Linked DNA regions of Caenorhabditis elegans. The protein of the gene in region 2 interacts with the protein of the main gene of each other region in a pairwise test. Each region holds a gene or a part of one and is shown on either strand. Other genes may lie near its edges.

Region 1 (4,694 bases), on a different chromosome or scaffold from region 2:
GTATATAATTTTTTAAAGATTTGAATTTTCCACAAATTTATCCATTTTTTAAAACATATTTTTGTTTTTTTTCCAAATTTTAATTTTTTTTTACTTTTTTTAGATTTTTTAAAAATTGGCATATTTTTGAAAATGTAAAAAAAAACTTTTTAATCTTTTTTTTTTTGGAAATACGATTTTATCAAAATATTTGATTTTTATTCTATTTCATTCAGTCTATATTGTTGGAAATATTTTAATTATTTCGAAAACTTTTTTTTTCCAATATTTTCTTTCTTTTCAAAAATTGGCATTTTTGATACTTTGATTTTTTCAATAATGCCAATACTTTTTAAAGTATTTTAATTTTTTCTAAATCAAAATTATAAATAAAACGTTCTTCCATCGCTACTACACAGTCACGACACTCTCAAACTGAATAAAATGAATTACTTGTAGAAATGATATCTTGTGACCGGATCATATTTTTTTGGTGCTCTTCCTGGTTCAAGTGACAACACATTCCGAGTCCAAACTTCTTTTTCCGGTCGTGAAGATTTTTGAAGCTCTGATTGTTCAGTTTCAGTGCTTAACCCCACGGAAACTGATTCAGCGATATTTTCCTCATCATCCACACTTGATCGTTCTTGTATGTCGCTGCCATCCAGTGATATTGATTTAAGAGTCTGAAAAAATATTTAAAACTTATTTTTTATAAAATAAAATGCACAAACATCTGAATCTTGACGTTCGGTTGGCTCACAGGATTCAATTTTATTATTTTTAGACTTTTTGAACATTTTCCAGCTTAATCTATGGAAAAAATCTTGAATGGAAGTCAGCATTTTTCAACAAAAAAAAAAACGAAAAAGTCAAAACCTCTGTGGCACCATTGCATGTTTCCATTGCACGATGTATGCTTCGCCACGCTCGATCGACCAGAAGGTTTCTCTCAGGATACTCGTTTGAGCTTTCATCGTCGAAATCGCTTTGTAACTCTACATTTTCGTAGATAAACCGTTTTCCTTGTCTTTCTGAAAAAAAATCACAGATTAATTGAAGAAAATCTTAAAACTTAACTCACTTCTAGAAACAATTGGGGACTGAATATTCAGATTTTCGGTTGGAAAATTTCGTTCTTGTCGTATGAATTGAGCGGCTGGATCAACTGATAATGAAGCAAATAGAGATTCATTCATAACGTCTTCATCGGCATCTGACAGACAAAGCTCTCGGTCGAGTAGATTATCAATTTCTGAAGAATACGATCTTTTATATTGGATTTAAATATTTTAGGAAAAAAAACTAACCATTCTTGAAAGTTGCAAATTGGTTTTTGTCATGTATATGGTGACCCATTTGATGAAGAATATCTTCGAGCTCGTTTTCAGTGGTAAAATTTGCCATTTTTCCTTGAAGCCAAATGCTCGATGAAGCGTGTTTTATGAACAAGGAGGAAATGACGTACACGTTAAACTACCCGTAACGTTTTGAAAATATTTTTGAGATTGTCACAATGATCTGATCAGTCACAAGATGGTGGGGTTTTTCTGTAACAACAAACAATATTGTTCGTGCAAAAAAAAAACAAATAAAAAACAAAAAAGCAAACGTGCTCTATTGAACGCCAGAAAGCGCGCCAGGTTCAAATCTTAAAAAAATAGCGCGCGCGGTGCCATTGCAAAACAGTGCGCCCAGATTGCCAAACATGACTCCGCCCATCATTCTCCTTGTTAAAAACTTTTCCGAATTTTCTAATTTTATCCCGAAAAATTAAATTTAAAATAACTTTTTTATTAAAATTCAATAATTAATGATAATGACGGGTTTTCAGGTACATGAGCGATAACCATGCTTTTGGGCGGCCGATTCAAGAAGATGGACGAGGAATTGTCGAAACTATGAGAACAGAATCCGCCGCCATTTCCAATAATTTTAATGCGGTGAATAGCGGTAAGTCTCTAAAAGCAGAAAAATTGACCAAAATTAGCTATTATTTCAGTTAACAAATCTGTTGTACAACATCTTGATGAGCTTTCACAAAGTTTCGATGAGATTTTCACTTCAACAGACCACTCCGATGTAACTCTTGTTCTCGACGATGGAACTGAATTTGCTGCCCATCGTTTGATCTTGGCTGTGAGAAGTAGCTTTTTTCGAGCTATGCTCTATACAGGTTTTCAAGAAAGCCATCAACAGCTTGTGACTCTTCAGGAAACGAATTCAGTAGCCTTCCGAGCTGTTCTTCGGTACATGTACACATCGAAAATCGATTTTGCCGGAGTGGAACTGGATATTTTGCTAGAATATCTCAGTCTGGCACATCGTTATGATTTAATTCAGCTTATGACAGCAATAAGCGAATATTTCAAGGAAATTTTGAAGAATGAGAACTTGTGTAGTATTTTCAATGCTGCATACTTCTTTCAATTCACTGATCTTATAGATTATTGCATGCAATATTCTGATAAACATGCAGATCAGCTTCTCGAAGATCCCAGCTTCAACCGATTATCAGGAGATAGTCTGAAGGAGCTTCTTGCGAGAGATTCATTTTTTGCATTAGAATTGAAGATCTTCAATGCGGTACGTTCATGGCATCAGAATAATCCAACAATGAAAGAAGCATCAAAAGTTTTGCTGGAATTGGTCAGACTTCCCCTTATAACACAAACCGAACTTCTTAATTGTGTAAGACCAACTGGGTTGGTGTCAGCTGATACTCTTCTGGATGCTATAGAAGTTCAAACACAAAGACCACACGAGATTCCATTCAGAGGATGCAAAAGTGAGTTGAATTTTATTTATTTTCTGTTTAATCTATTCCATTTTATAGGCCTCGACACGAATATAATTCCACACTATCCACACGCACAGCCATTGTCACGAGAGCTCAGCAGTCGCTACACTAATGACGAGAATATTAGTGTATTTCAAATTGATCTCGGAAAACCATTCATTATCAATACAATTATGATGGATTTTAACTGGAAAAATGAAGTTCAAGCATTTACATACCAAGTTCACGTTAGTATGGATAATCGAGTTGATGCTCATTGGAATCTAGTTGCTGATTACTCGGAATATGATTGTCGAGGAACACAAAGACTCTTCTTCACAGATTCTGTTGTGCGGTAAGTGATTGATTTTATTGTAAAATCCATTGCATTAATAGTAGAAATTCAAAAACATTTCGGCGGTTTTGGAACTAACGGGCGAAGTTTAATTGATCTATTTTTTATTCATTTTCCGAAACATTTAAAACTTTCGAAAAAAAACTACAGCGCCTATAGTAATTTTCTACAGAAAACCCGTGAAACTCGAAAATTATTCACCATAATTTGCATTTCAGGCATATTTTGATCCGAGTCAACAATTCAATGTCGTGTAAACTGGAAGGAAGTCGAATCGAAGCCATGTTCTCTACCGAAACAATGCCTGTCGAACCTGTGCACAAAGTCATAGGTATCACATTTTGCTGTGGAAATGTAATATAATTTCAATTTTCTCAGTTCCTCATCGAAACATCACAACGATAGAAAATCACGCACGGGTTGTTGAAGGAGTTTCTCGATGTCGGAATGCTCTTATCAACGGGGATTCCTCATCCTACGACTGGGATACTGGATACACGTGTCATCAAATTGGAAGTGGTCTCATCATGATTCAACTTGCTCAGCCCTACATTATATCTTCAATGCGAATTTTGTTATGGAATTGTGATGATCGATTCTACTCGTATTATGTTGCCGTATCGAAGAATCAAGACGAATGGGTTACGATTGTCGACCGCACCAATGAAGAATGTCATGGATGGCAAGAACTCATATTTGATCCTCTTCCAGTTGTGTATATTCGACTTGTTGGTACCCGGAATTCCATAAACGAAGTCTTTCACGTTGTACATCTCGAGGCTCCCTCAAACGTTCCAATTGCCATAAAATAAAACCGGGTTACAGAAATATATATAATGCATTATTTCACTTAAATGTCTGATGAAAAATAAGTTATTAAATTTATTGAATAAAAATGTTAATAATTTCTTTTGAAAAAAAACCACATACACGGACGCCACACACCGAAAATAAATTTATTTTTTTATTTTCTTTATTCTTGAAATTCTAACCGTTTTTTTCAGATTTTTGAGAGGGATGGCGAAGCGAGAACTGAGGAAAAGTCTCAAATCAGAGATAGAAAACCTATTCAAATCACCAGAACAAGCAGAACATGAATTTCAATGTAAGGGGAATAAATAAAAAAATAAATTCCAGGAAAAGAAATTAATTTCAGGTGCAACAAAAAGACGTCGATTAACAAGCTCTGAAAAACCAACCAAGTCTCCTAGTACAAGTAGTGATGATCCATCCAAGCCAAAATTAGAGTTAAGGCTGTCCCGACTAGGTGATGGCCATCGATTAGACTGCGAAAGTAATAATCCACTTTAAAATCCACAATTTTCGCATAGTTTTCCAGCTCTGGCTCAGTTTATTCACTTCAGCATATTTGGATCATCACTCCAAAAGCCCAGATGGGTCAGTCTATCCCATCATAGAAATGTCCTTCAGAACCTAGTGGTTCGTGTCAATGTGGATGACGATTTTTTCGTAAGGGATTGCATTGAAAACCTAAATCGCTGAAATCATTACAGACGACAACGAATCTAAGCTTTCTTAGTGAATTCTTTGAAAAGCAATGGATAGAGTTGGATTCAGATG
Region 2 (8,143 bases):
AAAATCTCGCAGACTAACCTGACGAGCAGCAGTGAGTGTTCCATCGACGTCGAACACCAAAATTGTTCGGCTACTCGCTGGAGAAGTCATCTGAAAAATTTTTTTGGTGTTTTTTTTTAAATTTTTTAAGGATTTTTTTTGGAATAAAAGTTTTTTGTTGAAAAATTCGGAAAATGGAAAATAATACATTTAATGTCAATTTTCTTCGAGAGAGAGACCAAAATGTATAAAGAGAGATGAGTGAATAGTTGAGGATCAAAATGAAGAACACCGATAGAGAGAAATTGGGTGAAACAAAAAATAGAACAAAAAAAGGTTTTTGGAAAACTAGAAGAAAATAAATAAAATAATAATATAAAGAAGGGTAAGTTCAATTTGTTTTTTGTTCAAAAGATAAAAATCATAAAAATTTTGAAGAACAACGAATGAAAAAGCCAGTGCTTCGTGTAATATACGCAACGTGTCGTTAGAGTGTCTGCGTCTCTTCACTCTCTCTCTCTCCGCCATATTTCAGGACGACACCTATTCAAACAGAAAAAAATGTTGTTCAGATTTGGAAAAAAGATACGAAATTCCACGGAAATGAAAGAATATGATAGTTTTGAGGAAAAAACTAAAAAAAATAGGGAAATTTTAATTATTCTGCGTCTCCTCCTCCTTCTGTACAGCCAGATTTGCTAGAAATTCGGCGGTATCTTCCATTTCATCATCGTTTTTTGATGATGATGATGATGATGATGATGTTGAGCTGATTGGTGTCGTTGCTCCGTGAGCCGAGGCGGATGATGACGTGGATTGGGACTTGTTGAATAGGGACATTTGCTCGGAATCAATAATATCTGTAAAATTTCATTTTTAGATTTAAAAATCTGTGAAATTTTGAGGATTTTCTCATTCAGACACGGGATATGTGTCGATTTACGGAGCTCGTGTACTCCTCGAGCAGAAGCGGTTTTCCCTGGAAAAACCAGATTTTGAATTTTTTTTGCTGATTAATAACATATTTAACGGTGAAATCGCCAATTTTTTAATTTTTTTCAGTTGCTTTTAACAGCAAATTCGGCTTTTTGACCGTTAAATACAAAAAAAATTAGAGAAATTGGTCCAAATTCAAGCTTTTCGACAAAAACTGTAAAATTCTCAAACTTCTCCTCGGGGAGTACACAATTCCCGTAAATCGACACGGGGCAGTTTGTGCGAAAAATGCAGTGCCTGGTCTCGACGCGACAAATTTTCGCTAACTGCAAAAATCTGTGCGCCTTTAAAGATTACTGGAACTTTAAATTTTAGTTGCAGCGGAATTTCCAGTGATTTTTATAGTTTTCCGATAAAAAAGTTAAAAAAAAACCAAAATTTGAAATTACAGTAATCTTCAAAGGCGCACACATTTTTGCACCCAACAAAAAATTGTCGTGTCGAGACCGGCCACCGTAATTTTGGCGCGAAAATCGCAAAATTTCGCAGAAAAAATGAGCATTTTTCCGTACTCGGCTGTTTGTGCATCATAATCGACAGAGCATTCGTTGTCCATTCGGCGTGAGCATTCAATTTGTGCATCTCGTGGCACAGCTCATACATTTTCTGAAACAGACAAGCTTGTTCCAGCTCAATAGTTCCTCTCAACGATGGTATCCATTTGTGATGCTTGTGACACGCGTCCTTCTTCGTTCGACAGCCTTCCTCACCGAATGGGCTGAAAATTGATTGATTTGCAATTTTATTTGCTGAATGGCCGAGGTTTTTCTCGGCCACGGTCGAAGATCTGACAAGATTCAGCGATTTTTTTGCTATTTTTCCCGAATTTTTCTTTTTTTTCGGTCATTTTTTCACAATTTTTCACGCAAAAACGAGCAAAAAAAGCTCTAAATCTCTTGTCGGATCCTCGGCCATCAAAAAATTCTCCAAATTCTCCACTAACTCTTCCATTTCAATCAATTCTGAAACTGTCTTCGCCGTCTCAATCATTCCATCTTCCCATTTCTTCGGATAACCGCACACTTTCAAATGCTGTTCATCGCCCAGTTTTCGATGTTCTGGGCACAGAGATTTCAGCCGTTTACAGAAAGAATTCGTTCGCGAATCATATTTTTCACAATAAAACATGTCGTTATTCTTCTCCGGTGCTCCGAATGAGATTGCCTTTTCGCTTCGAGCCCAACACAGCTCAATGTGTTTTGTGTATTTTAGGAGGGGAATGTCCGGGAGACCACACACGATACAGCCTTCGTACTGAAAAAATTGAATTTTTTTACTTATTAATGAAAATGACCGTGTAAAGCTCTAACACGGCCATATGTCGATTTACGTGGCTCGTGCACTCCTCGAGGAGAAGTTTGCATCAATTTTTGTAGAGGATCTCCTTCATTTTGGACTCTTTTCTACAATTACACTGAAAATTTGATAATTTCACAAGATTTCAAGTTCCTAAAGGCACACGAATTCATTCAGATGGGTCTCGACGCGCAAACAAGTTTATGGTTCAATAAAATTACTTCGTTTTTAGCGAATTTTGTACTTTTCGTTCATTTCTCTTGTTTTTCAGGCCGAAAAATGGGGAAAGGACACATTTTTAATGGAGAAAAGATTTTTTGTACCTTGAAACTTATCTAAAACAATTTTTAATGGAAAAAATGAAAAGAAAACGGAAAAAATCGCTAAAACGGGTTTTTGGGTTTCTTTTCATTGTTTCTGTTAAAATTGTTTAAAATCAACTTGCAAAGTTCAAAAATAAGCTTCTCTCTATTAAAAAATGTGCAAATTCCCGTTTTTTGGCCTGAAAAAAAGAGAAAAATGGCAAGAAAACGGCAAAATTCGCTAAAAATGAGGTAATTTCATTGCAAAATGAAACAAAAAAGCTACCATAAACTTTTTCGCATCGAGACCCATTTAAATAAATCCGTGTGCCTTTGAAAAGTTAAAATCTTGTGAAATTACGATATTTCCAGAGTAATCGTAGAAAATAGTCCAAAATCAAGGAAATCCTGTGCAAAATTAAGACAAACTTCTCCTCGAGGAGTACACGAGCTACGTAAATCGACAAATGACAATTTTAACAGGTTTTTTGTTAGTTTTTCGGCTAAAAAACAATTTTTTGTGAATTTAAGAAGCGAAAAGGCGATTTTTTTTTTGTCATTTGAGCAAATGAGCCAAAAATGTACCAAATTATCATCATATCTCTCCTCTGTGCCCAACGGTTGAAGTTTCAACTGTGTCTTTATGAACTCGACGAGCTTATTCAAAAATGCCATCATATTCTTTTCGGATTCCGTCAATTTCTGAACTTCTCGATTGATTTTAGCCCGTTTCGGCTTGATTTCGTCCTCCAAACTGCGCGGCCCACCGGATGGGCCCTCGAAAAAGTACTGTTTACAGCGATTCGGTAGAATTTCAGTGAGCCGCATTCTGGCGAGCTCTTTTCCACACTCATCGGAACAATATTTGCTATCGATTCGAGATTCGTAAATACAATTCGGATTGAGACATTGACGAGGATGTTTATCGGGTTCTGCCTGGAAAAAATTGATTTTTTTTTTCAATTTTAATTAGTTCGGCAGGTTTTTCCTGTAGAAATTAAACGATCAATTCGTGAAAAGCAGCGCCGCACGGAAATAGAGGCGGAGCGTAATTTTGCAACCCTGCGGCACGGTTTTTCCTCCTTTTTCGACAGAAAATGTGTCTCCAATTTAGTTCGTATGATATTTTATGAGAATAAAAATTGGATAACATTTTTATTCGAAAAAAGGAGAAAAAATTGTGCCGCAGGGTTGCAAAATTACGCTCCGCCTCTATTTCTGTGCGACGCTGCGAAATTCACAGATTTGATCGTTCAGTTTCAACAGTAATATACTAACATTCAACTTCAACCCTGCTGCACGGTTTTTCGAGGCACCACGCTTTCAAGATCTGTTCAAAAACAAGATCTACGTTTTCAGGATCTGGCACCGTGCCAACTGCGGTTTTCTCGATGAAAAACGAAACAACGATGCTCCGATGTTACGCGTCGCGCGTTGTTTAGCGTATCTTCTAGAAGAAAATTTCAAAAATAGTTTTCTGAACGCTAAACAACGCGTAACATCGGAGCATCGTTGTTTCGTTTTTCATCGAGAAAACCGCAGTTGGCACGGTGCCAGATCCTGAAAACGTAGATCTTGTTTTGGAGGATCTTGTTTTTGAACAGGTCTTCAAAACGTGGTGCCTCGAAAAACCGTACCGCAGGCTTCCGAAATTACGCTACGCCTCTATTTCTGTGCGCCGCTGCAAAATTCACGGATTTTCGCGGATTTTGTTGTTTAGTTTCAGCAGTAATAGTCTCACATTCAACTGTATACACAAATTAAACGATCGATTCGTGAAAATCAGTGCCGCACAGGAGTAGAGGAGGAGCCTAATTTCGCTACCCTGCGGCACGGTTTTTTCCTTCTTTTTTGTAGATTTTTTTTTGATAAAATTTCGATTTTACCGTCTTTTTTCGAATTAAAATGCTAACCAAGTTAATTCTCAAAAATCGCATTGAAGAACATTTTTATTCGAAACAAGAGATAAAAATCGAAACTTTATTGCAAAAAATCAACAAAAAAAGAGGAAAAACCGTGCCGCAGGCTTGCGAAATTACGCTCCGCCTCCGCTATTTCTGTGCGACACTGCAAAATCCTCGGATTTGTACAGTTTCCACAGTAATAAATACTAACATTCAACTGTGTCCGTTTCCTTCTCAAATCAGCCGACTGTTGCCTCGTCGGCCTATTCGGTACATAATCTCGTTCATTTATAATATTAGCCTTCCGTTGTTGTGCAGCAGCAGCAGCTCCTCCATTCCCAGAGCCCTTCTTTCGTCCTCGCTTCTTCTTTTCAACTTGTTGCTCAATTACCACCGGAGCACTTGGTGCTGTGGTTGTGGCTGCCTGATGAGCGGCTTCTCGTTGTGCTGTTTTTGCCATTATAGCCTTCAGATTTTCGTCGGTTTGTCTTTTTACTGGAATTATTGAATTGAAATGGAGGGTTTTTTTCGTTAAAAAAAAAGACTGAAACTGACCGGAAAAGACCGAATTTCGTGATGAGAATTCTCGAAAAAATTAAATTTTGAAAAGAAAGTTAAATTTTACTAAAAATTCTAATTTTTGCCAACTTTTCCCTTTTCTAGCAACTGAAATTCCGATATTTTAAATTAAATTTTCACCATTTATCGCATTTTTTTGTTGATTTAGGATCGTTTTCAGCCTATAGGCATCAATTTTAGCCAGATGCCTATCGACCTAAAAATGTGCCTAAATTCTCAAAAAAAAAAATGCGAAAAAACTACCAAAATATACGCTAAATTGAGATAATTTCTTAAGAAGCTGGATTTCAGCCATTGTGGGAAAAAAAATTTGCGAAATTTCAGATTTTAGAAGAATTGGGAAATTTTCAGAGAAATTTTATAATTAAAATCGGTAGTTTCAAGCCATTTTTAGTCTATTTAAGGGTGAAATGACGAAATTTTGCTTTTTAAATCAAAAATCGCCCAAACTACCGAATTTCTTCATGAAATGCGCTGAAATTTTCTGAAAAAAGAAGTTAAGGGGCTTCAAAACTTGGGAAAAAAGCCTATTTTCAGCAAAAATTTCAAATTTTGCCAAAAAAAGTTTGAGATTTAGCTTAAAATAGGTATTTTTTCCAAAACTTTCAAGTTCCATAACCTTTTTTTGAGAAATTTTCAGAGCATTTCTACAGGAAATACGTTAGTTTCGGCAATTTCTGGTTGAAAAAACGAAATTTCTGTACTCCACCTGTAAAATAAAAAAATGTTATTTGAAAATGCCTTCGAAAATCGCCTGCAGGAGACGCAGACATTGTAAAAGATGAAAATTCGTTAAAAATGACGTAGAAAAATGGAAAAAAAACGAATAAAAATTAAATTTTATGCCCGAAAATCCGCAATTTATCATGGAAGCAGGTGAGCTACAAGCTTTTGCCGGTTGCCTAGGTTTCCATGCACTTTGCCTCACTAGAACTGAGCTCAGAGAAATCAATTTTTGAAAAGAATTTCCTCCAAATATAAACCTTTCTCATTATATAATCTTTTCGCTGAGAAACATTTCCGCATATCACAAGTTTTTCCATTTCGACACGGCCAACATGTTCCACAATTCTTTTCATCGTTACATCGAATACAATTCATACATCTTTCCTTCCATACATCCTCATTATCTTCGATTTCTTTATTTGACATACTGCTCATCTAAAAAAAACATATTTTTAGCCAAAAAATACGAAAAAAAAAATGGTTAAAAAGCCAATTTTTTAGCGAAAAATCGTCGATTTAATCTTGAATTTTTCGGAAATAGGGGAAAATTTCAATTTTTTAACAAATTTAGCCAAAAAATACGAAAAATGACGCAATTTTTTCTCAAAAATTTACAAAACTTAACAAAAATCCCAACATTGATCAAATTTCGCTAATTTTATTCAGAAAAATATTTTTTTTTCTCCTCTAAAAAATACGAAAAATGGTCAAAATTTGAAGCTAGTTTTGCGGAAAAATACATTTTTTTTTTCGAAATTCCGGAAAATTGGAGAAAAAATTGAGAATTTTTGGAAAAAAGGGGAAAATTTCAATGTTTTATCAAATTTTGCCTGAAAATACGAAAAATGACGCAATTTTCTAATTTTTTGGTCGAAAAATCGAATTTTTCATTGAACATTGTCGATTTTCCCGAAAAAACAAGTTTTTTTCTTAAAAATTAACAAAAATTCAACATTTTATCTTTTTTTCTTCTCAAAAAGGTAAAATCAAGTTTTTCCGGAAAAATTGATTTTTTTTGTCGAAATATCGGAAAATATTTTCATTTTCCGGATCACCATTTGCTGCCAATCTGAAAAATCTGATAAAACTTATGGAATTCTAAACCATCCTAACAGTATACAATATCACGAATATATATATTTCATTTATTTAGATATATTATGGTTATTTACGGGACGTCATTTAAAGAACAACATTTAAAAGTTAAAGAAAACCAAAAAAAAGAAGAAAAAAATAGATCATTAATTGTAGAGGGAGAGATTTGTTTTTTCTATTCCTTGGATTCTTCCACAACTTCTGCGTCTTTATCCTCAGACTCATCAATAACAATTGGTTCTGCTTCTGTAGATGGCTCAGCAGCCTGCTCAGCACTCGCTGGAACTTCTTGAGAAGGTTCTTCAGTTGATTTTTCAGCGGATTTCTCGGATACTTTGTCATCCTTCTTATCGGTTTTCTCCTTTTCGTCCTTCTGAAATAAATTATTACTTTTAAAACAAAATTAACCAAATTTTCAGAATTACCTTGCTCTTCTCCTCCTTCTTTGGTGGTGGTGGCATAACCTTCTCAACTACAGAAAAAATGCGATCAGCATGTCGTTTGCAGTCTTGAAGGGCCTGTTTCAGAGCAGAATTCTCATCTTGAGTGGACTTCAGCTGAGCACTTGTCTCATTCAATTTCTTGTTGGACTTGTGGTAGTGAGAGTCAATGTCCTTCTTTTTCTTGTCGATTTCAGCCTTGGCTTCTCGAAGTTGCTCTGAAAATTGAAATATTAAAGAATTTTTTTAAAAACAAAAACAATTATATTTAATCCCTACCGATTAATGAAAGCTGCTCACTAACAGTACTCTTCGCCTCATCTCTCTCCTTTTCAACTTGCTTCAGCAGCTTCATCTTCTGCACAACATTCACCGCTGATCCATTGATAATAACGACTCCATCCGACGAAGCAGAAACTTCCGATGATTTTACCGCCGCTCCCGAATCAGCTGGTTCCATGCTCTTCGCCAAATTGTAACCGAATCCTCGAATCAAGTCGTCAGTCTCCACTACATCATCGGCTCCTCCTGGAGTATGCCGTACATTTCCGTCCATATCGGTTAGAACATCAGTCAGGTGACGGTAGTTGATCTTGTCTCGGACTGACAACTTCTTGGCGAGCTTTTGGATTTGACCTCTGGATATTCCGAATTCTCCGTTGTAGAGGATCTCTTCAATGTCCTTTTCGGTCAAATAACCGCAAAGGTTTGAATCAAAAAGCGAGAAGGCTTCATATACAGTACGATTGGCAACAACTGATTTGAGATCGATTCGCTCGACTTTCTCCCTCTTTTCCTCCCTCTTCTCGTCTTTCTTTTCATCCCT

Evidence for each region.
Region 1: the proteins of cfp-1 (region 2) and hpo-9 interact in a two-hybrid assay, tested with the Caenorhabditis elegans proteins (one large-scale study listed by BioGRID).

What each region holds. Positions count from the first base shown.
Region 1 is NC_003283.11:7,234,250-7,238,943, reverse strand, and holds hpo-9 (BTB/POZ domain-containing protein 9), read left to right. Parts: upstream 1-1,813; 5' UTR 1,814-1,817; coding exon 1,818-1,932; intron 1,933-1,981; coding exon 1,982-2,767; intron 2,768-2,815; coding exon 2,816-3,113; intron 3,114-3,331; coding exon 3,332-3,444; intron 3,445-3,491; coding exon 3,492-3,925; 3' UTR 3,926-4,022; downstream 4,023-4,694. Other genes in the region: Centriolar and ciliogenesis-associated protein hyls-1, read right to left, coding at 433-665, 859-1,013, 1,064-1,234, 1,290-1,386; C05C8.5 (Exonuclease domain-containing protein), read left to right, coding at 4,131-4,218, 4,270-4,407, 4,453-4,583, 4,628-4,694.
Region 2 is NC_003282.8:14,075,515-14,083,657, reverse strand, and holds cfp-1 (CXXC-type zinc finger protein 1), read right to left. Parts: upstream 6,218-8,143; 5' UTR 6,209-6,217; coding exon 6,040-6,208; intron 4,973-6,039; coding exon 4,689-4,972; intron 3,510-4,688; coding exon 3,159-3,509; intron 2,230-3,158; coding exon 1,919-2,229; intron 1,694-1,918; coding exon 1,488-1,693; intron 840-1,487; coding exon 634-839; 3' UTR 91-633; downstream 1-90. Other genes in the region: F52B11.2 (putative phosphomannomutase), read right to left, coding at 19-90; ccar-1 (SAP domain-containing ribonucleoprotein), read right to left, coding at 7,053-7,250, 7,303-7,535, 7,597-8,143. UniProt on the Caenorhabditis elegans protein: Transcriptional activator that exhibits a unique DNA binding specificity for CpG motifs; enriched at promoters containing the trimethylation mark on histone H3 'Lys-4' (H3K4me3).